3 linked regions of the Notamacropus eugenii genome follow. The protein of the gene in region 1 interacts with the protein of each later gene in a biochemical or structural test. Links are inferred from orthologs where the notes say so. Each region holds a gene or a part of one and is shown in the gene's direction. Other genes may lie near its edges. The genes, in order: NPR2, NPPC and NPPA.

Evidence for each region.
Region 2: the proteins of NPR2 (region 1) and NPPC form a complex in vitro, tested with the Homo sapiens proteins (3 studies listed by BioGRID). The link is inferred for Notamacropus eugenii from reciprocal best matches to the Homo sapiens genes NPR2 and NPPC.
Region 3: the proteins of NPR2 (region 1) and NPPA form a complex in vitro, tested with the Homo sapiens proteins (3 studies listed by BioGRID). The link is inferred for Notamacropus eugenii from reciprocal best matches to the Homo sapiens genes NPR2 and NPPA.

Annotation. Positions count from the first base shown.
Region 1 is NC_092872.1:79,356,822-79,367,513, forward strand, and holds the start of NPR2 (atrial natriuretic peptide receptor 2), read left to right. Parts: upstream 1-6,037; 5' UTR 6,038-6,263; intron 6,264-6,790; 5' UTR 6,791-6,841; coding exon 6,842-7,508; intron 7,509-8,451; coding exon 8,452-8,657; intron 8,658-10,692. UniProt on the Homo sapiens protein: Receptor for the C-type natriuretic peptide NPPC/CNP hormone. Has guanylate cyclase activity upon binding of its ligand. May play a role in the regulation of skeletal growth.
Region 2 is NC_092873.1:58,222,175-58,232,564, forward strand, and holds the start of NPPC (C-type natriuretic peptide), read left to right. Parts: upstream 1-5,546; 5' UTR 5,547-6,354; coding exon 6,355-6,441; intron 6,442-6,904; coding exon 6,905-7,210; 3' UTR 7,211-7,230; intron 7,231-10,390.
Region 3 is NC_092876.1:51,273,102-51,283,004, reverse strand, and holds NPPA (natriuretic peptides A), read left to right. Parts: upstream 1-5,594; 5' UTR 5,595-5,691; coding exon 5,692-5,802; intron 5,803-5,939; coding exon 5,940-6,257; intron 6,258-6,475; exon of another isoform or gene 6,476-6,704; coding exon of another isoform or gene 6,705-6,764; intron 6,765-7,006; coding exon 7,007-7,012; 3' UTR 7,013-7,289; downstream 7,290-9,903.

The DNA of each region.
Region 1 (10,692 bases):
ATACAGTCCCACGTGATGTCAATATGTGGTTTTCTAAGTTAATATGTACCTCCAGGAATCTGTTTCTGTTTGAGTTTGATATAACTGTCGTAAAGCTTAGTAGCGTTTTGTTTCATTCATATATCGTCATTTGTTGAGCCGTGCCCCAACCCTCACAGTTTCCAGTTCTTTGCTGCAAAAAGAGCTGCTCCAAATATTTTTGTGTGTATGTATCCTTTTCCTTTCTCTTTGATCTTGTTTGAGTAGCAGGCCTAGTAGTAGTATCACTGGGTATAAATGGGCCTTAACATGAAGATTCTAAAATTTCTTCTTGGACTTTATCAAAATAGCTTAAAATCTAAAATTTAAATGTGCATGTTGATTACATTGTTGCTGTCCTCTATTGAGCCCCATACCATGGGTAAGTTTCTATGTTCCTCTTGTTAAAATGTATCACCACTTCTGGCGGTAGAACTTGCCTGGATCAGATGCTCTGTGGGCCTAGAGGAGCCCTAACAATTTACAACTTTTAATGTCCAACCAGAGAATGTAATTAGATCAAACAAAGGCATTTACTGAAATGACACCCTAAGAGTAGTAGATATAAAACACTGCATAAACCTAGAGCATACTCTCCCATAAAATGGGGACCCCAGAAAGTTCCCTTGTAGAGCAGCACACATATGGAGGAGTCATATGGCATAGGAAACTTACACCGCCAGATCTCAGGTTCAACAACCTTGTTCTCTTGTGATGTCTTCAGGATCTTCCTCCTGGGCACAGTGTCTGTACTCTAGAGATCAGCTCAGTTCTCTGGACCTGAACTTCTCTGGATCTTGATTCATCACAGAAAAGATAACTTTTTCAGGCTTATGTCTTGACTTTTGCCCTCGGTGTAGGGTATGTTGTTTTTTAAAGTACTCTTTCATTTCATTGTGGTTGATGCAATAACTTCTTCACGCCTTGTCGAGGGGTAACACTTCTTTACAATTCATGTAATTCCTTAATATCTTGTTATCTCTGTCACCTGCTCCCTATAGTCTATAATTTTGCCAGATGGGGAGGGGAGGATCCATCTGTTGGGGTGTCCTAGTCAGATTTCTCCCACTGCAAAGGAATTAGCTACTTTCAACAAATTGATTGCAGCGTATTTTCAGCTGTAGGTGATAGGAGTGGAGTCACATTTCCATTCCAGCTTTTTGTCTGATGTATAAAGAGCCAAATGTTTCTAAGACACTTTTAACAATGGCAAACAACAGCATTTCTAGTACTTTAAGTTTTGCAAAGCACTTTACAACAGTCTTGGGAGGTATGGGCTATTAGTGCCCCCATAATTGAGGCAGACAGAGGTTAAGAAACTTGCCAGGGTCATACAGCTCCTAATTGTCTGAAGTCAGAGTTGAACTTCACAGTTAGGAAGGCTCCAAGGTTAGCACTCTATCTTGTACCATCTAGTTGCCTTAATAGGAAGATGATAAATTTTAGGTTTTTAGAGCCAGAAAATCATATATTCCAACTTTAGAAATCATAAATTCTGATCCCTTCATTTTATGAGACCTGATGAGTTTAAGTGACTTGCCCCAAAGTCACATTAGATAGTAAATAGAACTGGCATTCAAATCTAGATCACTGATTTCAAGGGCAGGTCAAGGCTTTTTCTATTACATGATTTCCATGAACCTGCCTTTTAGGATCTCAAAGAAGAATGGATCCTACTCATGTGGTACAAGAACAGAAAAGACATTGTCCCGTTTCATGTAGTTCACTGTTCTGTTCTTGAAAATGCTGAGATATTCTTCATGGCAGAAACAGTTGGTGGCCTCCAAGAGTGGCCTCAGGGTATGTTTAGTTAAATCACCCATAGCTTTTTCACCTTTCGTGTATCTGTCATTTACAGGCTTATAGAAGCCTTTTGTCTATCTTGAATGTTTATGGTTTCATTTTGTACAGCTTCCATAAAGGTACTGGCTATGGCATAAAGAATATTTTATTGTAGTCCGCATTTGTTGAATTGTTTTTTTAGGCCTAGGTGTAGGGGGCGTGGCTGAAATTTGGGTTTGCCTGGTTTCTAGGGATGCTGAAGATGTTCCCGATCACCTCTGCTGACATTTCTCAAACTCCAACACTAGGAGCTGAAAACTGGAGGCCCCACTTCCCTGGAATACCCTTTTGTGAAGCAGGCCTTTCTGAACCCTCAGATAGACCTTTTAGAACACATTACCAGGCAAGTAATTTGGGAGCCAGAGTTTGCTTTTAAAATGTTTTTGAATAATTTTAAATGTTTGGACGATTGTAGAAATTCATTAGCTTAAAAATATGTTAATGCAAGCTAAAATCCCTTAGCATATGGATTAGATTTTACAGATTTGATAAATCAATTCCCACTTTGCTGAGAGGAGGCTGTTTAAAACTAAGGAAATTACTTACACTGAATGCTTCAGTCCGTGTCCACCTTCCTGGTCCAGGGCTTAGTAGCCATTTGTCTTTTGAATTCAATAAAATTATGGCAGTTCTGTTGGCAGGCCCTCAGCCCTAAGGTTTAAATGAAGTTGGTCTGGTCATGGGAGTCTGTCTTACAATATACCTCATCGCCTACAGGGTGACCCTGCCCTTTGGGAATATGTGTGTGTATGTGGGCGTGGGGCACAGTAGTGGCCTCATGGTCTGGGATTATGGGAATCTTTGCCTACCACCCTGGCTCTGGCTAAAAGATGAGATGATCTATGAAAAAAATTTTAAATGAATTCCAACTTATTTTCACAAACCTTTTTGCTTCCTTACCTCTATTCCCTATCTTTTCTCCATATTGAAAAGCATTATTTTGAAATACACCTTATTGGTTTCTCTTATTTCTCAAAGCTCTTCTGTGTCCTTTGTGGCAGGTTCTCTTGGTGTTGTGTCCCATCTGATGTGAAGAAAGAACATCCCAAATGTTCTGATTTGGCATAGACCTGGCAACGTGAGACAGGTGACTGGCATGGGGAGGGAGTACTTATTGCCCTGAAATCTTGGAGGCCCCAGAGGAGGTTATGTTCCTCTTGTCTAAAGCAAACCTGAGAATTCAAAATTCATCTCTGTCTGGGACATTAGGTTAGTTTTAAGATACTTCTGGAGAGTACTGGGGATCAGACTTTGGAGGTCTGGGTTTGGGGTTTACTTTATATTAGTATGAACTTGAACCCTGCTGGTTTTCCTAGAATTCAATTCCTTTGGGTTGTGTCATTCTTGTGGAATTAAGAGTGGTTCCAAACCACACTACCCTCTAGGACCCTGTCTTTCCCTCAGTGTATCTCTGTAACAGACATTCCACATACTTGGATCCAGACCTAGGAATCCAGCCTCTGTCTAGGCTGGACCTTCACAGGGGACTAGAAAGTTAAGGAATATATATGTGGGATAACAGAAGCCACTTGGACCTGTAAGGGTCCTGAAAGCACTCAGGCTTTGCAAAGATTACAGTGAGCTCACCGTATAACTAAAGTTGAATTACCTGAAGCTGGAATTTCAGTCCTCTAGATAGATGATAAGAATAAATTTCAGTGACAGGAATCAGAAGTATAGAAAAGATTTATATCAGGAGCATAAAATAGAATTTGTTCACCAGATTTAAAGCTGTAAGGGACTTTGAAATAATCTAGTCTAATTCCCTCATTTTACAGATGAAGAAATGATTCCAGAGGAGGTTAGTGACCTGTCCATATAGGTTGTTGTTGCTCGTCCTTCGTTCTCAAAGAGGACCCTGGCATCAGGGAGGTGATACCATGACTTATGAGTGAATTGGATTTAAGTGAGGCAGGGCTGTGGAGAGTCACCAGCCTCGCTCTCTCCTCTGGAGCTGTCTGTGGCCAGCGGTCAAATATAAATCAGACCCCTGGTGCAGTGGGCTCCATACATAGCCAAGATGAGATTCTGATTCAAGTTCTCTGACACAAAATGCATTGGTTTTTGTTACATTCAGAAAATTAGCTAACTCCTGTTTCTTCTGGTAGGTTTGTAGGCAGTTATGTGACTCTGGAGTGTCTAGAACCTGTCACTCTTGGCATTAGATTGTACTCTCCTGGATAGCCGGGACTGTTGTTTTGGACAGGTACAATATCTGGCACAAAATGTTGTTTATGAATGCTTAATAAATGTTATTTGCTTAATCTCTGACTATAGTTATGTTTATCTCAATCTGTTTCTTTCCCTCTGGGCTCTCTCCTCCTTTTTCGCTGTCATTCAAGATGAGATGGATTTATTTTTACCTCACTGATTGAGTGCTGATACAGCTCATATGGTTTTGGATTTAGATAACTGTACACCAGATTTGTCATATACCTTTCTTACATTCCCCAGTCCATTGCCTGGTTGGTCGTCAATAAATAACTTAGAATTATTGAATTGAATTTTTCCTGGATTTCCACATTGAAGCCACCAGATGTCGCCTTAATTTCAGAGAAACTGTGTGCTGTCTGCCTGGGAGCTCTCTCCCCAGGGCAGTGACATCTGTTTAACTGTGGCTGGAAGGGGTAAAAATATCAGAGGCAAAAAATCGTAAGATGTGCAACTAGGGCTAGCTGAGGGGCCCTGAGGTTTGGCCTGATTTTGGCCAGTATTCACTTTAGTCGGAAGAAAGTGAGTTTTTCATCTCTAGTTTTTCTCTTCTGAAAAAGGAATTCTTCAAGGTCTCATTTATATTCCCTCCTAGCAGTCATGATGCAATTCATGATATGATAAGCTGTTCTTCAGGGATAGAGCAGGACCCCCAGAAGGGAATTAGACTTACAGGGGGTAAAGAAAGGAGTGGTGGTTCAAAGAGGGAGCACAAAACTGGAAATGAAGACTTTGGGGCCCAGTTCAGCTGTCAAGGACTTGTTGAAGACTTGTTATATTCTATCTTTTACTTAGTTCTGGTTCAACCAAAAGAAATACCTTTCTGGCCTTGGGTTGAACTAAATTTTCATGGTTGTAAGAAAGTCTGCTTAGTCAGCAAAGATAGATTAAGTGCCTGTGCTGCTGAGCACCGTGGGGCAGTGCACCAACCAATCAGCAAGACAAAGGAACAGATACAATATAGTAGTACCTGGAGAGGATCATGTTCAGGGACCATCCAGTGCAATTGGTCGTTTGGCAAATAAAGAAACTGAGGCAGAGGGCGGCTCACTGGCTGGTGGCCAGATAGGTGGTGAGCCCTAGAAGAGGAATATGGCTCTTCCTACCGGCCCACCCTGCCGCTGTACTGCTCCTTTCCCTAGATGAAGTAGTATGGCATGGGTTTGGAAACTGCAAAGACAAGAGAGGAAAGATGGAGCTCACAAGCCTTTGTAGCATAGTAGGGAGATAAGAATCCCACTGAGGTTTGTTGGGAAGCTGAGGGGCCTGTAGGGACCTGGAGATACAGAAAGGAGTGAAAGGGAAGGCCTCGGAAGAGCAGCAGAATATCACCAGAAAGCCTTCTAGGAACGCATGTTACCAGCCAGCCCCTCAAAATAGGGTGTCCTGCAGAAGTAAAACGATGAAGGGTTTAGTGGGCCTTTGGGGTTCTGGGTCGCCTTTTAGAGAAATGGACTTAAAGGGGACTCTGAGCAGACAGACTATTCGGAGGGGGCCCCGGGAAAGTGGGCTCGGGAGAAATGCTTCGGAGAGATTTGGGGGCAGCCAGGCCATTCCGGGTGAGGGGGCCGGACACCCCGTGTGCGGGTCCCCCGTGTGCGGGTGCCCCGAGGGTGCCGGGTCCCCCGAGGGCGGCAGGTCCCCCGTGTGCGGGTCCCCCGAGGGCGGCAGGTCTCCCATGTGTGGGTCCCCCGAGGGTGCCGGGTCCCCCAAGGGTGCCGGGTCCCCCAGGGGCGCCGGGTTCCCCGAGGGCGGCGGGTCCCCCAGGGGCGCCGGGTTCCCCGAGGGCGGCGGGTCCCCCAGGGGTGCCGGGTCTCCCGGGGGCGCCGAGCTGCGGGAGGCCAGCCCCAGTGGGAGGCGGCGGGCGCCGCTTCGGGAGGGTGGGGCCCGAGGGGGAGGAGGAGGGGCTGCCGGGGCGGGGGCGGGGGCAGGGGCCGCGGGAGGGAGGCGCCGGGAGGGGGCGGGCGGCCTGCCCCGGGAGTCGCACTCGGCCGCCACCGGCGCAGCAAGCGGAGACGGGCCCGGGCCGGGCCGGGCGGAGCTGGCCGAGTACACGGGGCCCCGGGGGCCCGGACGGCAGGAAGCGGCGGCCAGCGAAGGCCGGGCCACGGGAGAAGCCGAGCGCCACGGAGCCGAGCCGGGCCACGGGCGGGGCCGCAGCCTGAGACCGGACCAGCGCCCTGGTCCGCTAGGTCAGCCCCCTCGGGAGAAGCCTTTCCCGGAGATTCCCCCTCCGCTTCCTTCCTCCCGGCCCTCCTGCCCCCACATGGACACCCCTGTGCCTCCTCCCTGCCCCTCCCCTTCTCCCCTTCCACCGGGAGGGCGAGCCCCCCGTGCCCCAGCCCCAGCCCCAGGCCCCCAGGCCCAGGCCCCCGCAGCCCTAGCTCTGGCCCCATCTCCACCCCAGACCCCTTTCTGCTCCTGGGCTTCCCTCAGCATTAGACCTCTTTTTCTTCAGCCTCAGGCCCCTCTGATCTCCTCCTTTCGTAGGCCCCCCCATGCCCCTCACCCCAGGCCCTCTATTCCACCATAGCTTCAGGGCATCTCATCCCCAACTCCATCCTTACTTTCCCTCCTGGTCCTTTTCTCTAGCTTCCTATTTCTCTTCTATTTTTGTGCCTAAGCTGTCCCAGCTTCAGTCTCCCCAGCCATCTCCTAGCCCCTACCCTAGCCTTGTTCCTTGAGGTCTCAGGCTGGGGTTTGTGTCTTTCCCTTATAGGCCGAAAGGGACTTCAGAGTTCTGAGGCTGTGGGGCAGTTGCCTTCTCCTCATGGCGCTGCCCCCAATCCTGTTGATGCTGGCAGCTTTGGTGGGTGGGGCACGCCCCCCTGAGCCCCGGAATCTAACCCTGGCAGTGGTGCTACCTGAACACAACTTAAGCTATGCCTGGGCTTGGCCACGGGTGGGCCCTGCTGTGACACTGGCCATGGAAGCCCTGGGGAGAGCATTGCCAGTGGACCTGCACTTTGTCAGCTCTGAGATGGATGGCGCTTGCTCCGAGTACCTGGCGCCTTTGAATGCTGTGGATTTGAAGCTATACAATGACCCTGACCTTCTTCTGGGTCCTGGCTGTGTGTACCCTGCTGCTTCTGTGGCACGTTTTGCCTCACACTGGCGGCTGCCCCTGTTGACTGCAGGTGCTGTGGCCTCAGGCTTTGCGGCCAAGAGTGAGCACTACAGAACACTGGTTCGCACTGGGCCCTCTGCCCCTAAACTGGGCGAGTTTGTGGTGACATTGCATGGGCACTTCAACTGGAGTGCCCGTGCTGCTTTGCTGTATCTGGATGCCCGCACTGATGACCGGCCCCATTATTTCACAATTGAAGGGGTCTTTGAGGCCCTGCAAGGCAACAATCTCAGTGTGCAGCACCAGGTGTATACCCGGGAACCAGGTGGTCCTGAGCAGGCTACACACTTCATCCGGGCCAATGGGCGCAGTGAGTGTAGCTTGGGCTTTCACTTGGGGTTGTATGTAGCTAGAGATAGGCATCTCAGGGGTACGTGGAGGCAAAGTGGAGATTTCAGGAACTTGTTAGTAAAGATTGATACTGAGGAGTCATGTGGACAGCTTTAAGATGGATATGGACAGAAATGGGGTTTGTGAGGGGGAGAAGTGATTATGAAGGGAAGCATCTGGCCATTGTGGTTGGAAGACTAAGGGATATTGTGAAGATGTAAGTAACAGGAGCATGTGGGAATAGTGTGTGAGAGGCTTAGTTGTAGGGAGGAGTGGGGGTATTGAGCTCCATGAGGTTTTGTGGTATTGTCGGAGGTATAGAATGTTGGAAATGAAATTATCCTGTAGTTGTGGATATGATGGTCTAAACTCCAAAGGATACTCCTCCTCTATTTCCAGATGCCTTTTGCTGTATTTAAAATCCTTTTCAAACTAATGTCCTTTGCTTAGGGTGCAATAAGTTGGGTTAAAGTTGAGTGTGTTTGGTTGGCAAAGCCAGTCGGGATTTAAACTTAAAGTTTCTAAGCTCGTGACCCCTAAATTGCACTTTTCCTTCCACCCCTCTTCTCCTTCCCAACCCTCCTCCCATCAGAAGCAGAATGGGGGAACTGAGGAAGTGAAGACTAGGAGGAAGTGGGAATGTGAGAGAGAGGGGCTGGGGATAGGGAGAACATACATCCCTTCCTCCCTCTGGAGGTCAAGCTATGACTTATGCCAGATGTTCCTTATGGCCCCAGGGTACTTTCAACACACTCCTGGGGAAAGAGATGTATGTTCTGGAGACTTAAATGGATTTAGGCTCTCACTTTTCTGCTGAAGGGAATACAGAGAATAGAAAGCTTGCAAGCCCAGGGGAAAGGGCTACTTTGGAGTTGCTGGATGCACTTTCTAAGGGTACTCCATTTTTAAATACCTGCCCTCAGTTGTGTACATTTGTGGCCCCCTGGAGATGCTGCATGAGATCCTGCTTCAGGCCCAGAGAGAAAACCTAACCAACGGAGACTACGTTTTCTTCTACTTGGATGTCTTTGGGGAGAGCCTCCGTGCCAGCCCCACCCGCCTCCGAGGTCGGCCCTGGCAAGACAATCGAACTGGAGAGCAGACCCAGGCCCTCAGGGAGGCCTTTCAGGTAACATGGATGGAAGCTGGAGTAGGGGTAGGTGGAATGTCAGCTGTGGAAAGAGGAAAAGGGAGAGAAGTGTTTCCTGGTAAATTGCTCCCTTCTTCCCCCACCCTATGGCATTCCCAGAGCCAGAGTATGAATTTTATAAAGAAAATGATCCATCCATTTCCTTTAAGTCATTTTCCTGTGACTTTTTATTACTGTGTATGGCAAGGTTCTTAAGATCCTGGCCTGCTCTTTCTTTTGCAACAAATCAAGTTTGTACTGAACACCTACTATGTGCCCAGTTGTGTGTTGGACTTCTGTGGAGAAAATGAAGGGGAAAAAGACACATTCCCTGCCCTTGGGATCTTATTTCCTACTTGGGAAACAAAGTGTACATAGGACAGTTAGCTACTGATGAGGCAGTCTAAGATACTGTGCCAAAACATTTGGTATAGCACTCGCTTTTGGAGTTGAAATGAAGCAGAATTTTGTATGGGCAGAGGTCTCAGCGAAGGCCTCATGATGAAATGAGATTTAAGTTTGGCTTTCAAGGTGGGTCATAAAGATAGAATGGGCTCAGGGATAGAAGCTAGGGAAGATGTGGATAGCATGAGCAAACACAGAGAGGTTAGACATACAGCATATTACGTGGGGAACAGTGAAGAGATTACCTTGACCAAGGAGGGTTTATTGTGGTGAGTGATGTGAAATAAGGTTATATAAGTAAAGTCAGATCATGGAAGGCTTTGAATGCAAGGCTAAAGAGTCTGGACTTTATTTGTAGTAGGGCAGATTCATGGCAAGTTTTTGAGGAGGTGAGTGACATGATCAGAGTTATCTTTAGGAAAATAATTCTGTCAATGGCATTGGGGGTAGATATGAGAGGGAACCACCTGAGTGAGAGACACCAGCCTAGAAGAGGCTATTGCATTGTTCAAACCTCAGGTCATAAGGGTGAGGAGAGTGGTTATGGAAAGGAAGGATTGAATGCAAGACAATATTTTGTCAGATAAATCTCCAGGACTTAGTCATTGGTTGGATATTGGAGAGATGGAAAATCAGCCATAGCCTTGAAGATTTGAGTGTGGAGAGAATTGGAGTACTATTAATAGAAATAGAAAAGGTTTTAGGGGGAGATAGTTTTGGAAGGGAAGATGACAAGTTTGATTGTCGAAGTACTGATTTTAAGATAAAAGCAAGACACCAAAATAAAAATGCCTAATAGGCAGCTCTGTGACTGGGGCTCAGGTGGGAAGGGGAGGGTTGTAAGGACTAGAGTTGGAAATCTGGGAATCATACTCAGAAGTAAGAGTTACCTGCTCTCTTGTTTTTCTCAGCCCAGCCCACCTCTTTTCTCCCTGTTGGCAACATTTCTTTCCCACTGCTCTGTGTTGCTCTGTAAAGCACTTGTACTTTTCAAGTGTGGCTTTGATGAAGGCTTTTGTAAGCCTCTCCTGCTTTTGGAGGTTTATATTCTAAAGTAATCAGACAAAAGCTGGAAGGAAAGGAGAGAGACACATTTTTGAAAGAAGAGGTAACAACTTGAGGTGGAAAAATGTGGAGGATCTTAGACCTATTCCATCTGTCCTGAGAGGACCTAAGGAAACTCATGGAAGCAGGAAAAAAAATATATCTGGAAGATAGGGGAAGTAGGAATGATGGCAATGTGGATGGCAATTGGGCATGAGAAGGAAGAAATCAAGTGAGGAAATAGTGTATGAGAGAACATAGAATGGGGTGGAGCAGAAGTGAGAACAGAGGAAGACAAGATTTGGAACACTAAAGTATAGCTGTGTGCCTCTCTCAGAATGGCAAAATGCCTGTAAAATGAATTTCTGTCCAGACCTTTTGAGATTATTTGTAGTAGCTAGGTGGTATAGTGAATGGAGTCCTAGACTGGAAGCCAGAAAGACCTCCATTCTCTTCCTGCCTCAGACACTTTGTAGCTTTGTGAGTCTGGACAAGTTACTTCTGCTTTCTCAGCCTCAGTTTACTTATTGATCAGGGAGGAAATAAACACCTCACAGGATTGAGAGAGTGAGAATCAGATGAGATA
Region 2 (10,390 bases), on another chromosome or scaffold:
GTCACTGGAGGAGCCCTATCCATGCCTGAGGACAATGGAAGCCATCAAATCCAAAAAGGACCAAGAGCCCCTGAGGTCTAGGGAAAAGGAAAGAACCCAGGCTCATTCAGGACAGATACCAGGACTCCAGATGCAGTCCAAGTCCATGCCTGGGGGCCAGGGCATTGAGAGTCTCATTTTGGGGGCGGGGGGAGAGGATGGAGTCAGGGCTCTGAGAGGTTGAGGGGATGGATATTCCTTAGATCTGGAACGTTGCCAGAAAACTAAGAACTGAGTCCCAGCCTCCTGGCTCTGGGGGCCTCCTTTATTCGCCTGGGAAATGGGCCCTTCTCTGGCACAGGTCCTTCCTGTCTTTGAAACAGCTGAGCTGCTGCTCTTGACCCCAGAGCCTCTGGATGTCCTCACATGCTCCCCAGCTCCCCCAGAGGCCCCAATCCTCTCGATATAGAAGTGAAGATCTCAGAGGGTGTGGTTCTATTGGTCTTGAGCTGTCTCCCCAGTGCCTAGCAGAGAGCCTGGCACACAGTAGGTGCTAAATAATTACATTGATCATTCACTGTAGGAGAGAGAAGTTTGCTGAAAATGAGAAAGCTTTTCCCCTTTTTAGTCTCTAAATTAAAAAAAAAAAGTGAAAGAATAAATAATGACATCATCTGCCTGCACAGGAGAAAGGGGTTGGGGACCATCTGAGGTAGGCAGTGAAAAGGGGCCCCAGGACAGGGAGAAGAGAGCAGCTGGACTCATCAGGTGGTAGTTTCCAGAGACCAGCAAAAAGCAATGGATGGGAAGCTTTCCCAGAATCTTCAGCCTGCAAAGCCTGAAACTTTGAATGACCCACATGCACATGAAAAGGTCAGGGAGGCAATGAGGTAAAGTCAGGAATGGGCTGACTTTGGAACCGTGGAACCTGGATTGGAAGCTGGCTTCTCTGCCTGCTTCGAAGGCAAGCTGATGGTACCAGAAGTAGAGCACTGGACCTGGAATCAAAAATCAAGCCCCAGACACTTCCTAGCTGTGTGCCCCTGGGCAAGTTACTTAATCTCTGCCTCAGTTTCTTCAACCCTAAAATGGGGATAAAATAGCCCCTACCTCAAAGGATTGTTGTGAAAATCAAATGAAAAAATAGTTGTAAAGGACCTGGCACACTGAAGGCCCTTAATAAATATTTCTTTCCTTCTTCCTTCCTTTTGCCTGTGTGACCTTAGACAAATAAGTCATTTCATTTCCCCGGGTCTCAGTTTCCTCAAATATAAAATGAGGGAGTTAACTTAGGTAGCCTCTGAGGTCCCTCCTAACTCTAGACCTAGGAACCCATGAAATGGATGCAGATTGTCAAACATGATGAGGTTGGTCCCCTCCTCCCACTCACAAACTGGAGAAATAGAGAACTGGACAGATAGAAAGTCTCAGAGTAGAGGAGCTGACCCTGCTCAAATCAGATCATGGAGAGAAAGGAGCTGAGAGGTGGACACCTTGTGTGTGGATCCTACTTGGGATGTGGTCCAAGCCAGAGCTGAGACCCCGGTGGGTCCCAGAGTATGGGCTCCAGTTTCTCCCTACCAATACTTTAGGCCAGGATTTCAGCTGAACCTGAGCACTAGAGATATAGTGCCCAATAAGGAGCAGCATACAGATGTCACCAAAGGTCGCAGAAGGTGTATGCATTGCCTTGGCTATATACATAATCTAGTGACTGTGCATCTCTACTAGTATATTCTATGTGTTGTCCTCTCTTCCCATTGACTTTATGGAAGTATACCCCCAGTTTAAGGGGGAGATGTTCTGTACCTATTTTGATTGCTGTACACTTTCAGGAAATTTCTTTGTGCTCATTTTTCCACTTGGTTGACTGCTGGAGGGAAACACATGAGGGGGGCTCATGCGTTATAGTTTAAGGAATGCAGGCCCACGAAATGTATTCAACCTGGGTTATAGAGTTGGAATTAGGACCTCAGAAGTCCTCTCTTCCAGATGAGAAAACAGAGGTTTAGACCTGCCCAAAGTTATACAGGTAGAGCCAAAATTCAAACCCAGGACCTTTGTCTCCAAATACAGTTCTTTGCAGTACACCACTGACTGATTTGATTCCGTTCCAGAATACTTGGGCTACACCCTCAGACTGAGCCTTTAGAAGGGACATCTAGAGAGAATCAATCAGCAAATATTTCTTTAAACTCCTACTGTATGCCAGACATAGGTGTGGATCCCCCCAAAAAAACCAGTCCCTGTCCTCAGCCACATTTTATTGTGAAAAGGTTGTAAAGGTAGGTTATAGGCACATGCAAAATTAGGGAAGAGGGATCAGGAAAGGTTTCATATAGAAGGTCACTCAAGACACCCTGACGTCAAATATTCTAGGCAAGGAGACCAGAGATGATGTGGAGAGTACCTGAGAGGCAGAAAGAGGTCAGTTTGACTGGACCACTGAGTGTTAAGAGTGGAGTAGGCACAAGGCTAGAAAGGTAGGCTAGAGACAAGCTGCAAAGGTTCTTAAATGCCCAACAGAAGAGTCTGCATTTGACCATAGAGGTAATGGGGAGCCATTGGAGTTTATTGAGTAGTGGAGGGACTGGACAGACGTGTTTCAGGAAAATCTCTTTGTCAATCTAGAGAGAACCAGTTAAGACAGGTAGAGAGAAACCTGTAGGATACACAGACTCCGGTTACTTGAAGGGGCGTCATCCACCTGCCTTCATGCCTCAGTTTAAGTAGCCCAGCACCTTGGGCATAGTAGCACTTCCCCACCTCCAGACCACCAGCAGGCCTCCACAGCCATCATCCAATAACCCTTGAGAAAACAGGAGCCCAGTGTCTGCAGGTGCTGCATCCTTGCACCCCCCCCAACCCAAACAGCAGCTGGGTCAGCCAAAGTCCCACAAAACAAGTTCCTGCCCCCCAAATCTTTGGCACCGTCAAATCAGAAACAGATTTTTTATCAGTGGAAATGGCACTCAAGAAGATATCTTATCATCTGCCTTGCTGCTGCGCCCTCAGGACTGGGGGAGGGGGAAGTGCCATCTGTTCTGTAGCTGGGTCCTCTGCCCTGATAAAATGTGAGCTCCCTGAGAGCAGAGGCTGACATGATTTCCTCATTGTATCCCACCACCCAGGATGATGCTTGGCCCATCGAAAGGATTGCTTTTATACTCTCTGAAAAGGAAGAAGCCTGGACTGTTTAGGAGATCAGTTGTGTCTTTTCTGTTGGATTAAATAAAACTCAGCCTGTATTTCATATATGAAACAAATTGCATGCGAAGGTGAGACTTTTTTCTTTTTCTTTCTCTTTTCTTTTTCTGTAGAGACACAGACACAAAGTGTATTTTTCGGATGTCCTCAGGGGAAGCCTTGGGTCAGGGCATGAAGAGAGATTAAATGTGGTCAGAGAAATCCACATAAGAGGTTCCTAGTGATGGGGTACACATGTGGCCCTCTAGGTCCTCTAGTTCAGCCCTTTGACTTGAGGATCTGGAGGGCGACATGTGGCCTCGAGGCTGAAGGTTCCCCACCCCTGGATTAGGTAGAAACAGAATTCAACTTTGGGTCTGTGGAGGTCTTCTCTCCAATGGGGAAATGTGTGTGTGTGTGTATGTGTGTGTGTGTATTTCTGTAGCTTTTTTAGATACAGTTCCAATTTTGACCTTTCATCAATTCTACAAGATAATGTCAGAACATGAAGAATTCTCCGTTATACTTTTGGGGATACTGAGGCACAGAGAGGTTATTTAGTCCCAAACTATAAAGTAATTCACTACAGAACCCAGACAAAAAAACTCAGTCATCTTAGTGGTCATCATACAGATCACCATTTTTTTAAAAAGGGGAGGCAGTATAGTATAATGGTTAGGGCACCGGACAGGGAAACCAGCATACAAATCTCACCTCAGACACTTAGTATCTGTGTTACTCCGGGCAAGTTATTCCTCCCTCGGCCTCAGTTTCTTTCTCTTTAAAATGAGGAGGCCGTCTGGCATCAGGGTCCCGGAGCTCTCACTCGAGTTCTGAGTGCCCTAAGGGCAAAGCCGAAGCGAAGCGAGGCCCCCCAGTTGTTCGCAGCTCCAAGAGAAGAGGAAATCTGGGCGAGTCTCCGACCCTCTGGATCCCCTTGCTCTTAAGGTTTGGAGAGGGAAGGAGAGAGCAGGAGGGAAAAGAAGCCACCATCCCGGGAGAGGCTGGAGCCAAAGGAAAAGGGGTGAATCAGCGAACACTCGAGCTGCAGGGGAGAGGGCGACCCTGGGGAAGCAGCTGGAAGCTGGAAGCCCCCCGACCGTGCCCTTGGAACCGCGCATCTGGCCCAGGCAGAGCACCTCAGTAAAACGAGATGGGTGGGGTGCGAGAGGGCATCCCTCCCCGATGCTCGTCCAGTCGGTCCTCAACCCCAACCACGCCCCGTCAATTCCAGTGAAATTTATGGGATTTCCTCCCGCGCCCCTCTGAAATGAGCCCCACAAGCCTCCTGCCTCTCCCGATAGGACCCTAGGGCGCCTGGAATTTTCAGGGGAGATCCCTAGTGGGAGGATGGGGGCACCAAGATCTCCCCCCCCCACCCCGTCTACTGAAGGGGCTTCACGGAGGCCAAGGGAAGTATCTAGGGGTATCCCTCAAAGGAAGTACCCAGCAGCAATCTAGGATCTCTCGTCCTCCTCTTCAGCCGTCTTCTGCATCTTCTGGGGACCCTCTCTTTCCTGGGTGGAGGGAGGGAATGCTAAGCGCTAGTTCCCTCCTTTTCCACTTGACTCTTTTCTCGACTCCAACCAGAAGAGCCTGGCGAGCGAGTTCTAGTATGTTTGAGGTGCGCAAGGAAGCCCCCGCCACCCGCTCCGAGCTCACAGCCCCGGGTGAGGCACAGGACAGGTCCCGGCCTTCCTATCTTGGCGTGTAGTCCGAGGGGCAACGCAGGAGTGGCGTGGGACTCGGCCCCTAAGAGCCAGCTCGCTCGTTAAACAGTTGAGGAAACTGGGGCACAGGGACATTGAGTACCATGCCTAAGGTATCTTAGGTGGGATTTGAACCCAGGTGCTTCCCACCATACCAGACTGCTTCCCTTACTGACTGGCTGACGACTACATTCCAGGTCACAGTCTCCTCAAGTGTAAAATCAGGGAAATAACACCTGTAGCGCCCGCCTCCTGTCTGGTTCAAATGAAATCTCGTGGGTTAAGCCTTTGAGCGCAATGCAAACACCACTTATTAAATGTGTCTTAGAAGAAGAGGAGGCGGGCAGAGGAGACGGGAGTGCCCAGAGTCCACGCCTGTCCTTTCTCCTCGGGAGTGCGGAGTGGTAAGAGGCCACCTGGCCAGAATCGAACAGCGGCAGGCTCCGCGAAACAGCCCACCCATCACCGGACTGACCCACTCCTGTGCGCACTTGCGCTCGGCGTGGATAACCCCATCCCACCCCCCGTGGGGCCAAAGGGCTGGCTCTCCTTCAGTGTGCCAAAGTGCCCGGGCCGGTGGGCAGCACCAAGCCCCGAGACCAGCTATCTCTTCTTGGAGAGGAGCCAGCAGTGGCGGCCCCTGGTGGAGTTACGGTCAGAGGTGTGCAAGCTCCAGCCCCGGGCACTGATGTTCATACGCACGCACCCACCCACCCATTCAGGAGCCTTCCTGCAGGTGACAAGAAAACCGAGGTCTGAGATCCAGGGAAAGAAAGGAGCTCGAGACCCAGGGTTAAAGTCAAGGGCTTCGGGTTTTCAGTCCCCAGCTCTTTCCATCGGACAGCCTCCCTTCTCCTGCCTCACCAGATAGAAACTGGACCCTAGAACCCGCCCAAACAGGTGCGAGACGGGTCACTAACTTCCAGCACCCCAAGGCAGCCTACCCCCCAGTTCTGGTCAGTCTCCAGAGCTCCCAGCAGGAGCCCTGTTGGCGCCCCGGTCATCGGGCGGAGTTGGGCTCGAGACTCCCCCCGGGGCGCAACACTGAATCCCCCCCTCACCCGCTCCCCCTAACTTCCCTCCCAGGCCCCCTTCCCAGGCCCTGGGGACTGCAGCCTCGGCTTGTCATTGGTCGGGAGCGCCCGCGGGAGCCCCAGGCTCCGCCAGCCGGGGTGGGCGGGGGGATGACATCAGTGGGCCGCTTGGCTTATAAAGGCACTGAGGGGAGAAGCCGGGTTCAGAGCGCTCCCAGCCGGCGCAGCTGAGCAGCCGCAAACGAGCGCAAGTCCACTTGGCACCCCCGCGGCACTCCGACTCCACTGCAACGCGGCGCTGGGCAGCTCGGGCAGCGCCGCTCTCCGCCCGCTGCGCTGCGCTCAGCTGCGAGCGCCCGCCGCCAGCTCGGAGTCCGGCTAGCCATCCTTCTCCGCAGCCCTTGCACCCCTGCACCCCTGCGCGGGCCCCAGAATCCCCCAGCACCATGCACGCCTCGCAACTGCTGGCCTGGACGCTGCTTCTGACGCTCCTCTCCCTTCGCCCCGAGGCCAAGCCAGCCGCGCCGCAGAAGGTGGGTGCCCCTCTCTCCCCGGTGCAGAGGAGGTGGGGAGGGGGGGCAGATTTGCCTGGGGAGAAGGAGAGTCCTTCCCGGGTCCCTGGGAAGTACTTAGACAGTCGGCCGGCCCCGCGGGATCCCCGGGGCCCAGGGGAGGTGGTTTGGAGTTCACAAGAAAGAAACCCCCTTTTTCCCTTTCCCGGGTGACAGAAGTAGGGACGGGCACCTGGCCAAACTTAGGATGCGCCCAGGAGCGGGAGGCACAGGCAAAGTGCCCAAGAGTCCCCAGACCAGAGGGTCACTTGGAGGGAAAGAGGGCGGGGGCGTTGGATGGCACAGCAGGTGAATGATGGTGCTCCCCGAGAAGGAGAAGGGTCGGGGCACAGGTCGGGGCAGAATCCGCGATCTTGCGGCGCAGGGGGTAGTGAGGGTGCTTTGGAAAAGGGGTCTACGTCTACATCCCTCCTGCCCCCGACAGCCCCCGCGGACCCCGCCTGGAGAGGAGCTGGCGGGGCTCTTGGCTGCAGCCGGCGGGGACAAGAAGGGAGACAAGGTGCCGGGGGGCGGCGGCGGGGGCGGCGGTGGGGCCAATGCCAAGGGCTCCAACGCGCGGCTACTTCGCGACCTGCGAGTGGACACCCGCTCGAGGGCGGCTTGGGCGCGCCTTCTGCACGACTACCCCAACGCGCGCAAGTTCAGAGGCGTCAACAAGAAGGCCTTGTCCAAGGGTTGCTTCGGCCTCAAGCTGGACCGGATCGGCTCCATGAGCGGCCTGGGATGCTAAGGCGGCGACCCCTGGCGGCGGTGAGTTTCTCGGACCCCTCCTCCTCTGAGCCCTGGAGCAGGTGCCTGCGTGAGTCTCAGTGTCCAAGATCTAGAAACTGTCAGAGAACTTCCCTGTCCAGCAGCCTCCCTGACCCCCATTTTATAGATCAGGAAACTGAGACCAGAGAGCGAACCAGGGTCACAAAGTGGCAAGTGAAAGGGATAGAGCTGATTGGGAGTATGAAGATCCAGGTTCAGATCCCCTGACTCTGCCCTGCATGACCTTTGGCACTTCATGCCTTCACGGGTCTGTTTCCCCATCTGTAAAATAGGGGTTGGGTCAGATCTAAATCTAGGAACCCTAACTGCAGTCAGGATTTGAATTCTGGTCCTTCTATTCCAAATCCCAAACTCTTTTCTACTAGATGAGTCATGAGTCAATGGCAAGAGAACTGGGGTACAGACCCTTGGGAGTGTGTCTCTTTCTCTGTTTCTGGGTCACTAAGTTAGACCTGGAAGAGACCTCATAGATTGTGTGCTCCAGCCCCCTCGTGTTATAGATGAGGAAACTGAGGAACAGGGAAGGGAAGAGACTTGGCCAAGGTCACCCAGGTATTATTCATCAGAGGCAGGATTTGAACCCAGGACTTCTGACTTCCTTACACTGCACCACACTAAGACCTTAAGCTACCTTGGAGATCATCTGGTCCAACTTCTCCCTTTTACAGATGAGGATACTGAGGCTCAGAGAAAAGAGAGTTGACTAAGGGTGCACAACTAATAAGGAGGAAAGTCAGATTCCAACCCCTGACTCAAAGATTCCATCCCTTCCTCCTCATTTTACCCTCTGGGGAAAAAGGACTAATCTTTTTTCCACATGATGGGCCTTCCAATACCTAAAGATAGCCACCTCTTCTGTAAAATGAGGCTAACAATCCCAAAGGCACAGCTGTACCATATTCCCATGATTCCCTACCACTCCATAATCCCTTAGCTGCAGGGGAGGGATCTCTATGCCATGGCTGTAGCCAGCTTTGGCAAAGAGCCAGCACATGGCTCAGGGAAGGCAGTTATAGCCTGGGCTTCATGCCCACAATCCTGAAAGGCAAGGGTCTCCTCTGATGGCACCAGGCAGCAGAAGCCTGCATTTTCTCTGTTTAAGAGCAGACAAGGCAGTTATCCCTGTTGGGTGAGAGGTCAAAAAATGTATAAGGGAGGGGGGACTGTTGAGGATACTACTTCAAAGCCAAAGATGAGTACACTGAGAAATAAAAAACATGGATCTGTTGCAGCTGGAGTCCCAGGGGGTAGGATGCCCATTAATTGTACCAGGATGGGGTGGGGAGAGGGGAGGGGTGGAGAGAAAGTATTCTTAAGTCCCATGTTTATAAAGAAGATACTTCTTCACAAAAGCAAATAGGCACTCCATCCCTCCTGTTTTAACTGCAAAATAAACAATTAACTGTGTGTGTATATACATATGTATTCACAATTCAAATAACCTGTATACAGAAAAATAGTCTGTCCCATGCAAGTCATGGCTCCTGAGAGCCCTGTGCAGAAGACACTGCGCCCAAGGGTGTGGAACCTTGGCTTTGAACTGTTCGAATCTTCTACCTGAATTCACCCTAGGATGTTGGATTGAAAACAAACCAACCAACCGTAGCCTCTTTTTAAGCAGGAACAAAGACCCCTCTCCTAGGTCCTGATGCTAATGCATCCTACGTACCTCTGGTGAGGAATGCCTGGTTTCCCTATCCCAGCTTAAGGAGAAGTCAAATCAAGTAGATGAGCCATCCCACTAGATGTAAACGTTACTTCCTTCCTTCATTGGTTGGACTGCATCCAAACCCATCAGTCTGGAAACACCTTCCCTCTACAGAGTGGCAGCTCAAGCTCCTCTGTAGCTTCCAATATGGGAGAGCTACCTGGAAGACGGAGTGAGACCCCTCCCATCCCCTTCTACCTGCTCTAGAATTCAGCTGTTCATCCCTTCTCCCAACTTCAGCAAAAATGCACAGACATCTCCCTGACCTGGTAGGGATCTCCCAGAAATGATGGGGAGACAACGGCTTTCTCCTCTTTATTATCTGCCACTCTCTTCCTTTCACAAATGGGTAAATGGAAATAAATAACTGGCTCTTCAGTATTCAGGCGGCACCTCACTCCCAGTCTGATATACAAAAGGTGCTTCATGCTAATTGACTGTCCCAAACATCCGAATCCACTCATTCCACCCTCCCAGGATTTGTCATAGAGGAGTGTAGAAGTCTGGGGTCTCAGGAGAAACCAGCTCATCCAATGTCTGGGCCTTCTCATCCACCTCATTCTTAGATTTTGCTCTTTGCCTCCATTGTAGCAAACCTAGCAATATGTGCTGGGTGCCTGCATGGAGAGAACAAATTCCCAGTCCCTTTGACCTCTCTAAGCCTTTATTTCTTCATCAGCAAAATGGGAATGATCCTTTGTAGTTCTAAGTCTGTGACTCACATGGTGTTGTTGTAAAGGAAGAGCTGTATCTGCCTGAAAGTACTCAGAGAACTGTGAGCAGTGACGGTCACCTATGTCTCTGTGCATTTCAAGACAATCAGTGCAGCTCTTGGCCTGTCCACCTGTCACTCATATCACATGATCTGCCCACCTCCTTTTCTGATCATTTCTGGACTGATAATCCTGAGTGAAACCGAAGGGTACAGCTGGAAAGAGTACAGAACCACAGGATCTGGATTCAAATCCCACTGCTCATGCTTACTGCGTGTGTGACCTTGGGCAAGTCACTTAAACTCTGTGGTCCTCAGTTTCCTCATCTGTATAATGAGGGGGGTTGGACTAGAGAGCCTCTCAGGTCCCTTTCAGTTTGAAATCTTTGATCCTATCCCTCTTTGCAAGTCTAGATCTTCATTGGAAAAAAAATTTAAAGGCAAAACAGTCCTTGACCTCAAGGAACTAACATTTTATCTGTTTTTATGAGAACTGCCTTGGTTACCAGTGAGCCACCGTGGCTGAAAGATTTGGGGGTCCTACTTCTGACCATTCCTAGCTGTGTGACTGCTTAACCCTCACTTCTTTGCAGCATCTAAGGGTTCCGACCAACATGTCCAGGAATCCCAGAACCTTACATAAGCAGGGACCAGAGTATGCTCAGTCTTAGTCATAGGAGAGGCCCTGGCTCCTGGACAGAGTTCAGGATTTCCCACCC
Region 3 (9,903 bases), on another chromosome or scaffold:
GTATATCTTGGATAAGTTTTGGCAAAATGAAGGGACCAGATAAGGGAATAAAGCCCTTTTTTAATGGGGTATTGGAGAAACCCAGGCTTGGATGGCAGAGTACTCTCAGTGTGGGTAGTTGAGAGATGGGAAAAAGATGTTGAAAGTCTCAAACCTTCTAGAGCTGACCCATCCTTGGCTCATGATTCTCTGTTCTCTGCTGTAGCTGCCTTCCCATTTCACCAAAGAAGTGTGTGTGAGGGGGAAAGAAATGTATGTAGCCCCAGAATTCTCAACAAAGAGGCTTTGTCCATCTCCCTCCATTCTCCACATAGACCACAGCATTCATTAACATTCATCAAGTGCTTACTGTGGGCAAAGCACAGTAATTTCTTCCTTAGTCCTGTAGGGGACGCCACATACCAATGGGAGACAATGAGGGTATGGAGGAAATAGCACTAGAGTTAGAGACATCAGGTGTGGATAAAGTTCTCAATTCAAGCTTTAGACTTACTACTCTGGACCTCAATTTTCTCACCCATAAAGTGGAGAAAGTAACACTTCCCCTGTTCATTTCAATGAATAGTCATAAAAACACATAGAATTCAGAGGATTCTCATATGCCATCTAGTCTAATACATGCCTATTCTGTAAAATGAGTCTGAGGACTGGGTTCAAATCCAGCCTGTATGGCCTTGGGCAAATCATTTACTCTCTAGATGACTGAATTTCCTCAATTATAAAATGAGGAGTTGGACCCATTGGCCTCTGAGGTCTCTTCCAGCCCTACAACATTCCTGACAAGTAAGTGGTTATCCAACTTTTATTCAAAGACTTCTATTGAGATAGAGTTTACCCCTCCCCCAGGCAAACTCCCCCTTTTTTGATAGTTCTTATTATGATGACAACAAACTCTTCTAACAAACCCAGCCCCCTTTCTCTGCAGCTCCATGCCTGGTTCTGTCCTCAGGACCAAGATATATCTACTTTCTGCTCCACATGTCGGCTCTTCACACAATTGAAGATCAAGAAGCATTTTGTAAACTACAAAGTGCTGTAGGGACATGGACTTTTCTCAGTTGATTTCCATATGTGTGTGATATCGATGACATTTACTATGATAACAGTTGCTCCTAAGGAGGAGCTAAGAGCAACTCCAAAGAAGGCAAGAAAGCACTGAATCAGTAAGATCTGCCCTCCAACTCATCTCTGCAGCAAATGACCTCCTTTGTTCCAGGGCATAAAAATACGGCTAATATTTTTCTATTCAGATGCCAGAAGGGAAAGAAAAGGCTGATGTCCAAACCTTTTTGCAATCTCTCCCTCTCCTTCTTACAACATGGCTTCTTGAAAATCTCATTGGTCATTAATATACCATACAACGTTGAGAAAAGGCGAGGAAAGGAATGGAAAGTCAAGTCACACAATTCTCCTGGTTGGAAGCCCCAGAAGAAAAATTGATGGGTAGGGGGAGGAGGTTAAAGCTAATGGGAAAATGAAATTCTAAATCCTTCATTCTGAACTTAGAGTCAAGAAGGAAGACAGGCCAGAATCTAGCATTTATCATATACCTCCTAAGAGCCAGACACTGTGCTAAGTAATTTGCAAATATTTCATTTGATCCTCACAATAACTCTAGGAGGTAAATGCTATCATTATACAATTAAGGCAGTCAAAGTTTAAGTGAGGTCACCCAGCACTGACTGCCAAATATTATTGTGAGGATCAAATGTGATAAAATATATAAAGGACTATGTAAGTTGTAAGCACAATTAAATAAATGGTAGTTATTTTGGGGAGAGATATAGCAAATGTGCAAATAACTATGGTGAATGGGAGAATTTGGTAAGTCCTTAAGAGGCACAAAGTACTTGGAGAGATCCAAGTATCTTTATGGCTTGAGTTTGGGGAAAGAAGGAAGGGTTCAGGGAGGGGATGGTGTTTGAAGTTCTTCTGGAAGGATGAGTAGGACTGAGATGAAGTGGGCATCTTCCAGACACAGCCAGGAAAAGGAGTAACCACAGAGGTGTGTTTGAGACATAGGAAGCCCAGTGAGCCCAGTGTAACTGGAGTGTGTGGAGAGGGGATTGTATATGGATCTTGATTATCTGTGATTTCCCTGCCTCTTCTGCTAATAAACAGTTGACAGGTGGGCTTTAAATCAATATTCATGGTAACGATGCAAGACAAGCTATTTGTTTCCCCATCTGAAAAATTTTGGAATTAGATGAGATAATACCTAAGGTCTATTCCAGATCTTAATCCAAAAATCCCATCAAGTTTTATTGTCTTTCCATATACTAGCTCTCAGAGAGGAAAGAAGTCTTCAGGAAAAAGAAAATAGATTCTGAATAATCTGGAACCTTGGACAGTGACTTCTGCTTTTACCCCAAGATGCCTGCAAAAGCAGCTGGAGAGGGGGAGGGGTCAGGGAAGGGAGGGTGGAAAGAAGAGACTGCCCTATGTCATTTCTGGTATGCCATTTGCCAAGATAACACCCACATCAGAGGGCTGTCTCAGAAGGGCAAGGACAGGGCAGGCTGACATGCTTAGAAAGAATTACTTCTCGGAAACACAGCTTCTTGTCAAACTAGCCTTACTAAAAATAACCTGACATGCACTTATGACTTGAATCATGCAGCATCATTAGGAGAATGTTGTCTTTGGCCTACCAAATTCCAACTGAAAATGGCTCAATATTGTATTCTTCATCAATGGGGATCTAGGTGGATTGAGTGTTGGACTTGGAGTCAGGAAGACCTGAATTCAAGTGGGTCACTGGGCAAGTCACTTCACTTTCTCTGTTTCAGATACATCGTCTATAAAATGGGAATAATAATAGCACATACTTCTCAGGTTTTTGTGTGGATCAAATTAAATAACATGTAGAACACTTTGCAAACCTTAAAGCATCACACAAATGCCAGTTATCTTCCTCCTCTTCATCATCATCTTCCAAAGCCCTGAAACCCACTGGTCAAGTAATTTTACTGAGGATTATAGCAATGCAATTCAATCTTTATTAGAAAAATATTAGATTTCATGAAGAAAATTGGGATATTTAGCCTGGATGAGGGAATAAAACTCAGGAAGACATGACAATTATCTTCTGGCATTTGAGGGATTAGTCTTGCTCCCAAGAGCAGAACCAGGAAATATGGCTGAAAGCTGAAGTGAGGCAACTTTAGGTTTGATGCCAGGAAAAACTTCATGACAATTAGAGTTGTTTGAAAATGGAATGAACGGCTTCAAGTCTTCAACTGGAATCTAGAGGATGGCTTTGCAGAGATCATGCAAGTGAAGGTTTCTTTTATTCAGATATGAGTGAGATTAGCTGGCCTCTAAAATCCTTTGTAAATGTCAGATTTTGTGACTCCACAATACAAACAAGCTCACAATACCTAACTGACCTGGTCATGGTGTTCCATGAGAAGCAGGGATGGAACAGGATCAGTTCTTCATTTTATAAACAAATTAGCACCATGGAGAATTTCTCCAAATCTAACCAAAAACTAGGATTAAGTACAAGGTCTATCAGTTAACATGTTTTTAGACCATCCATGAAGCATATAACAATGTGCTAGGTGTGTTTGTACATGTGTGTTTGTCCTTTGTTGTCAAAGAAGACCATGCCATCAGAGAAATAATGACATGACTTGCACTTCACTTTGTCTTTTTTCTTTTTTGAGAGAGGGAGGGCTGTGCAGGTCACCAGCCTCACTTTTCCTCCAGAGCCACCTGAATCAGGATGACTGGAGATGACCCAGGAGGAGAAAATTGGGGTTAAGTGATTTGCCCAAGGTCACACAGTGAGTGTCAAGTGTCTGAGGTGAGATTTGAACTCAAGTCTTTCTGACTCCTGCACTGGTGCTCTATCCACTGCACCACTTAGCTGCCCCTAGGATGAATGAGTACATAACGACTACACAAAACCTCCCCTCAGGAGGTTTACAGTCTAATAGAAGAAGGTAGGAAAGACCCCACAAAGGTAGGCAGCCATTGCAAGAGTGACAGAAGGACTGATGATGGCTAATTTTAGACCATGGCTCATATCAGTCAAGGAAAGCTTCCTGAAAGGAGGGGCACTGTGTGGGTTAGACTAGATGGTCTCTGATGTCTCTTCCAACTCTGAGATTCTGTGATTTGGGCTGCTGGGTAAAAGGTTCTGGATTCTCAAATCTCAATCAAGTGTCCTAAACACATTTCTTGTAAGTTATCCCTCCCAATTAGTATTCTTCCTTAAATACACTTGCTTTGCTCACTGTAGGTAATTAATAAGTGACTACTGAATTAAAGATGTATCATGGTACGGTGGACTTGGAGTCAGAAACACCTGGGTTCAGATCCTACTTCAGACACTTACTAGCTGTGTGACCCTGAGCAAGTCACTTCACCTGTCTGCCTCAGTTTTCTAATCTATAAAATGAACATAGTGGACTCACTAACTTTTAATGCTTTTTTCCACTCTAAATCTATAAGCCTAGGAAGTGCTAATGTCTAGTACAGTGCTAAACAGTTTGTAAAAATTTCATATTGATTGAACCTTGTTAGTTTTTGACTGAGAAATGGGGGTCCAAATGTCTGTCACTTGCCTGCACCAACTGATGTGAGGTAGAGAAAGATCTAGGAGACTAGTATGTGCCACAAAGGGCTCTCCACATTGGCCCACCCCATTGACTTTTTTTTTTTTTTCTGGCAAGGCTAGAACTCAATACAAGTTTCAGACTTTTGATTTAATAGCTTCTAGGATACCACATGGCAATGGAATGATGATGGTGGCTTTTTCTAGGTTCATAATCATTTCTATCAACACCTTACAAGAGGGAAAAGTGATGGAAGAGTAAGGGTATGTATTGTGGGTGGTGAGTGGGGGATATTGACTTCAGGAAAATATTCTCTGGTGTTGATATGTGGGAGCAGAATGATTAGGATGTTTCTCCCATGGGGTGTTTCTCACATTCTATCCTTGGTGCTGACTTCACAGTCTTTATGAGAAAAAACAACAACTCACCTCTGCTCTACCCAGCTGCTTGGAACCATAGCCACAGTTGGGAACTCACATGCAGGAGAAAGAATCTGAATTAAGTAAGAAAGAGTATAAAATTGTCCCAAGCATCCAGGCTTGTCTGTGTCAGCTTGAACTCTTTCTCTAGGTTGAAAGTTGCCTGTAATTTCCTTCTTTCTTGTCCTTATTTGGACCTCCCTAGCATTCATGTAACAAGCTTGGGGAGAGATGGGTACTGGCCAGCCATCCTGTTTCCCTAAATTGTTTCCACGGCAAGGAAGCAAAGAATCCTGAGGCATCTTTGTGAGATAATCAAGGATTTTTTTGGTTCCTCTCACACCTTTAAAGTGTGAAACCTCTTGAGCCAAATCAACAAGAATGTGACTCTTGCAGCCTAGGGTTCCTGAGGCTGTGACAACCGTTGAAGTGCAGAAGCCACCTCTACAATGAGGTTGTGACAGTCTGCACTGGACTGATAACTTTAAAAGGACATCTTCTGTTGGCTCACTCCAGTCCTTTATCACTGCAAGTGACAGAATGGGGAGGGGTACATCCCTTGGGCGGTCTCAGGGTGCTGGAGGGGGATATAAAAAGACAAAGAGGCAGACTGGGAGGCATAAGACAACAGGGTCAGAAGACCAAGAGCGAAGAGGAGACAGAAGAGACAGCAAGCATTTGACTGACTGATATTGACGACCAATCACAGCATGGGCTCCTTCACTACCATCTCCATCAGCATTCTCCTCCTTTTGACCCTGCAGCTTCAAGGTCGAACCAAAGCCAGTCCTGTGTCCAATAATGACCTGGTGGATTTCAAGGTAGGACCAGAGAGAGACTTGTCAGGGACAATAGAAACCAGGGGTGGTATTTTGGTACGGTTTTGATTTTTTGGTCACTACTCCCCAATGTAATGAACTCATAAACTCCTCTCTTTGTTCCCTTTTTGATTTTTTAGAATTTGTTGGACCGCCTGGAGGACAAGATACCTTTAGAAGATGAGGTCATGGCCTCACAAGGACTTAATGAGCAGAATGAGGAGGCTGGGGAAGCACTTAGCTCCCTCTCTTCCTGGAGTGGGGAAGTCAGCCCAGCCCAGCGGGAGGGAAACTTCAACCGGGGCACTTGGGAGCAATCTGAGAGATCTGCCCTCCTGAAGAATAAGCTTCGGGCACTCTTGACTTCCCCTCGTAGTCTGAGGAGGTCCTCCAGCTGCTTTGGGGGCAGGATTGATAGAATAGGAGCCCAAAGTGGACTTGGCTGCAACAGTTTTAGGGTAAGGAGATCTGGAAATGGGTTAGGGAGAAAAGAGACATATGCTATGCTAAAATTCAAGCAGAGGTAGAGGGGTTCACTACCAAGTGAAATCCTCAGCAGGTGCAGGGACTAGATACATATCTCCCTTTGAAATATATCATTCTTGCCTTTGGGACTATCTGTAACTACAAAACTGTAACAGTAATGCTTGATTCTCCAAGGGGGTATCACCAGATGTATTAGAGAATTAAAACTTCCATAGGACCAGATTGTTTTATAATGTGAGGGGCTTTCATTTATTTTCCTTTCTAGAGTTATAAAATTAAAGGGTCAAATAGAATGAGTTGGTGGTGGTGGTGGTCCTTCATTTTTGAAGAGGGTCAATGACATTATGATGTAAATGAAGCAAATAATAAGGTAAAATAGTGGATGATGGTTGACCTCTTGACTTGCTTGTGAAGTGGATTTAAGTGAGGCAGAGTTGCACAAAGTCATCAGCTTCACTCTTTTCCAGAGTCACCAAAGTCTAGAATAAAATAGAATACATAAGGATTTCTTTAATTACCCTTTATGGTCTGAACTGTCTGCTAGTTCTGGAAGCCCAGAGGATCCACTTTAATATGCTAAGGAAGAGTGGTTTAAGAGATCAAGGATAAAGGGTGTTTTTTGTCCATTTTATACCTGCTATCCATTCCAATCTCATGTTACCTTCTCTAGGTCATCTAGCTGGGATATTGCTAACCAAATATGTTTGTCTTCTCTTTGTAGTTCTGAAGATAATGTACAAAGAGGAAAACACGTGCTGGACCCTGTCAGATCAAATCCTTTGGGACTTTGGCTCTATTTTGTCCATTTGTTATTAGCAAACTGGGCTTTGTGCTCCTGGTTCAAGCTACAGCTTTCTTTTGCTGTTTCACAAATGTAATTTTGAATGTAGACAAAATGGTGTGATGGTGTGATGGCGTTATGGCGGTTTTTGTCCATTCATTAGATCTGAGTTTAAATTCTAAGCAGTTCAAGAATGAATAAACTTCAGCACCATGGACAGAAACAGCCGCGGGCTGGTGTGATTCTTTGTTTCCTACAGGGAAACAGTGGGGGAATTCAGGTCTATTCCGACTATTATACTGCCTGCAAAATTTTCTTTCTTTCTTTCTTTTTTTTAAAAATCACTTAGCCAGAGAGTCACCTCTCATCATATCTGCGGAGGCAAAGAAAAGCCATAATGGCTATTTATTTAGACCGATTCGAGTGAAGTTTTCTCGAGGCTAATGTAGTTCATATCTAACATTGTATGGTTTTTTCTTTTCCCATGCAATTCCTCATCATTTTTTGACATACAAGTTTTGGGGCACATGTTTCTAATGAGGCAATTCTGAGAGCTGACTGCTGGGGTTGGTCTGGTTTGGCACTATTTTTGGTTACTAGATAGAACTAGAATTGAAGGAAGAATAGAAGAATAAAAACATTTACTAAGTGTAAATGAGGTTTTAAAAAGGCTTACTAACCTCCTGGATTTTAACATCTAAACTTTAAAATATAATCACCATTCCATCTTCATGAGAGAGCTAGAGGCCTGAATTATTAGGCTCTAACAAGTGTCCTTGTAAAATAGCAGGCATTTCTCAGGCAGCAGACATTGGCTGGAGACATGGGTTAACAGCCTTGTTCTCAGTAAGTACGGAAATTTGGAGAAAAAAAAGGATAAGGAAATGCAGTAGCCATTAGTCTCCGTGTTGGATGGAAGACAAAGACGGGACAGGGGATGTGAGCTATCCTATCCACTTCATCACGAACAGCAGGTTGAACATGATGAGCACTTATGACTGAGAGCCAAAAACAGGGGCTCTTGTCAGGAGCATGGCCCTTTCAAACTCATTATTGAATAGAACACTAACTAGAATTATCTAGAAGCTTACCACTTCCCAGCGATAATGCTACCCAACTGAGAAAAGAACCACATCACTTTGGCAAAAAGTAGAAAAAGATCTCATCTGAAAGGAAGAACTTCAGTGTAATAAAATCCTTGAATAGCTAGTGAGAGGTGGTGGGCTTTCCATCCTTGTCATGGATGATTTGGGCATACATATACCTAAGGAGTCAGCCAGATGATTACTTCCTTGACCTTGGGGAAGTGACAAAGTGTTCTCTATGAAATGAAGTGGTTAGGTGCTGTGATCCCTAATGTCCTTTCTAGGTCTATTCTACTATCTCCTCATGTTCTTTGCTCTTCTGGGTTTTTCATCTTAGTTTCAGAGGCTGTTGGTTCTGAAGGCCATAACCTCCCTCATGATAATTCATCCAGTTTTTCTGATACCAACAAGAGAACAAATATATTAATCTTAAAATTCATACACATACTTTTGTAATCATGTCTGCCAGAATGAATCCTAGTGTACACTCATAGAGAATAATGAAATACATCTACACCCCCTAATCCCTGTCTACCTTTCTCATGTCTTTTGTTTTTCAGAAGGATGTATGGGGGAAATTCCTAAGCCCTTTTGGCTACAGAAAGGCAATTAGATTCTTTGAGGTTCCTAACACAAAAGGCAGTAGACATAGGGGCTGGCCAACTGGGACACATTTGCAAATACACTATAGGATATTCTGAGACAAATAAAATCTTGGTGTCATAAGAAATTCAGTCATCAGTATGTCCCAGACTTCACTGTCTCAGTAGGAAGAAGCTGGAAGTAGCCAGATACTATAAAATTTTAGGAATGAGACTAAGAGGCTGGCCTCTCTAAATTGACACAAACTAATCTCCAAATAAGAGTTCACCCTGAGGAGAGCTCCTGGGACAGTAGTAGCAGGTCTATAGAATCCCACTTCATCTGACTGTTTCTTTTGCAAAGGCAAATTAGGCTACCTTTTACCTCAATTTTTCTTAGCCTTTAATCACTGAATGGGCATTGCCTCAGACAAACTGACACCTGGGAAAGACCTTAGCTTAAAAGGCCAAGGTCTCCCACTGCATCTGGGGCCATTTACAGTTGTTCTGACTTATGTCTTGCCAGTAGACTCCAGTAACTCTGGAGGAATGAGGCTGTTGACTTTGCACAGCTCTGCCTCACTTACATCCAATTCACTTGCAAGACATCATCCTCCTGATCTCACTGTTCCTCTTTGAGAATGAAGGATGGACAGCAATCCTAGATTCCTAATTTTTACATACTGACTACAAAGGGAAAAGACAAGTAAAAAGTACCACAGAAACTAGAGTGAAGGACACAGACAAGGACATTTTATTCTCTGACATGTTATGGTTACAATGAGGACTTCCAAGTGCCAAAAGTTCAAATAAAAATATTTTTTGTACAAATTAAAAAAAATACTATATATACACATTGGAATTAGCTTACATTATTTTACAAACAAACAGTGCAAACACAAAAAAATGTTACCATTGAAATGACTGTTGCAAGGCAATACTGCACATTAACACTGCACAGGTTCTCAGGAGGGGCCCCAGAAGCCCTTTCCCTAAGACGGTCCCATCAATGGGTGCACGCCATTGCTCAGATCTGTATCAGAACAGCCTCACAGATAGCAATGTCCAGAAACACAACTTCATTTCTCTATCAGCTCTAAGAACCTGTTCGTTACAATAAGCAAATGATCTGATTAGGTCATCAGCCAGAGAACGTGGCTTCATTACTTGT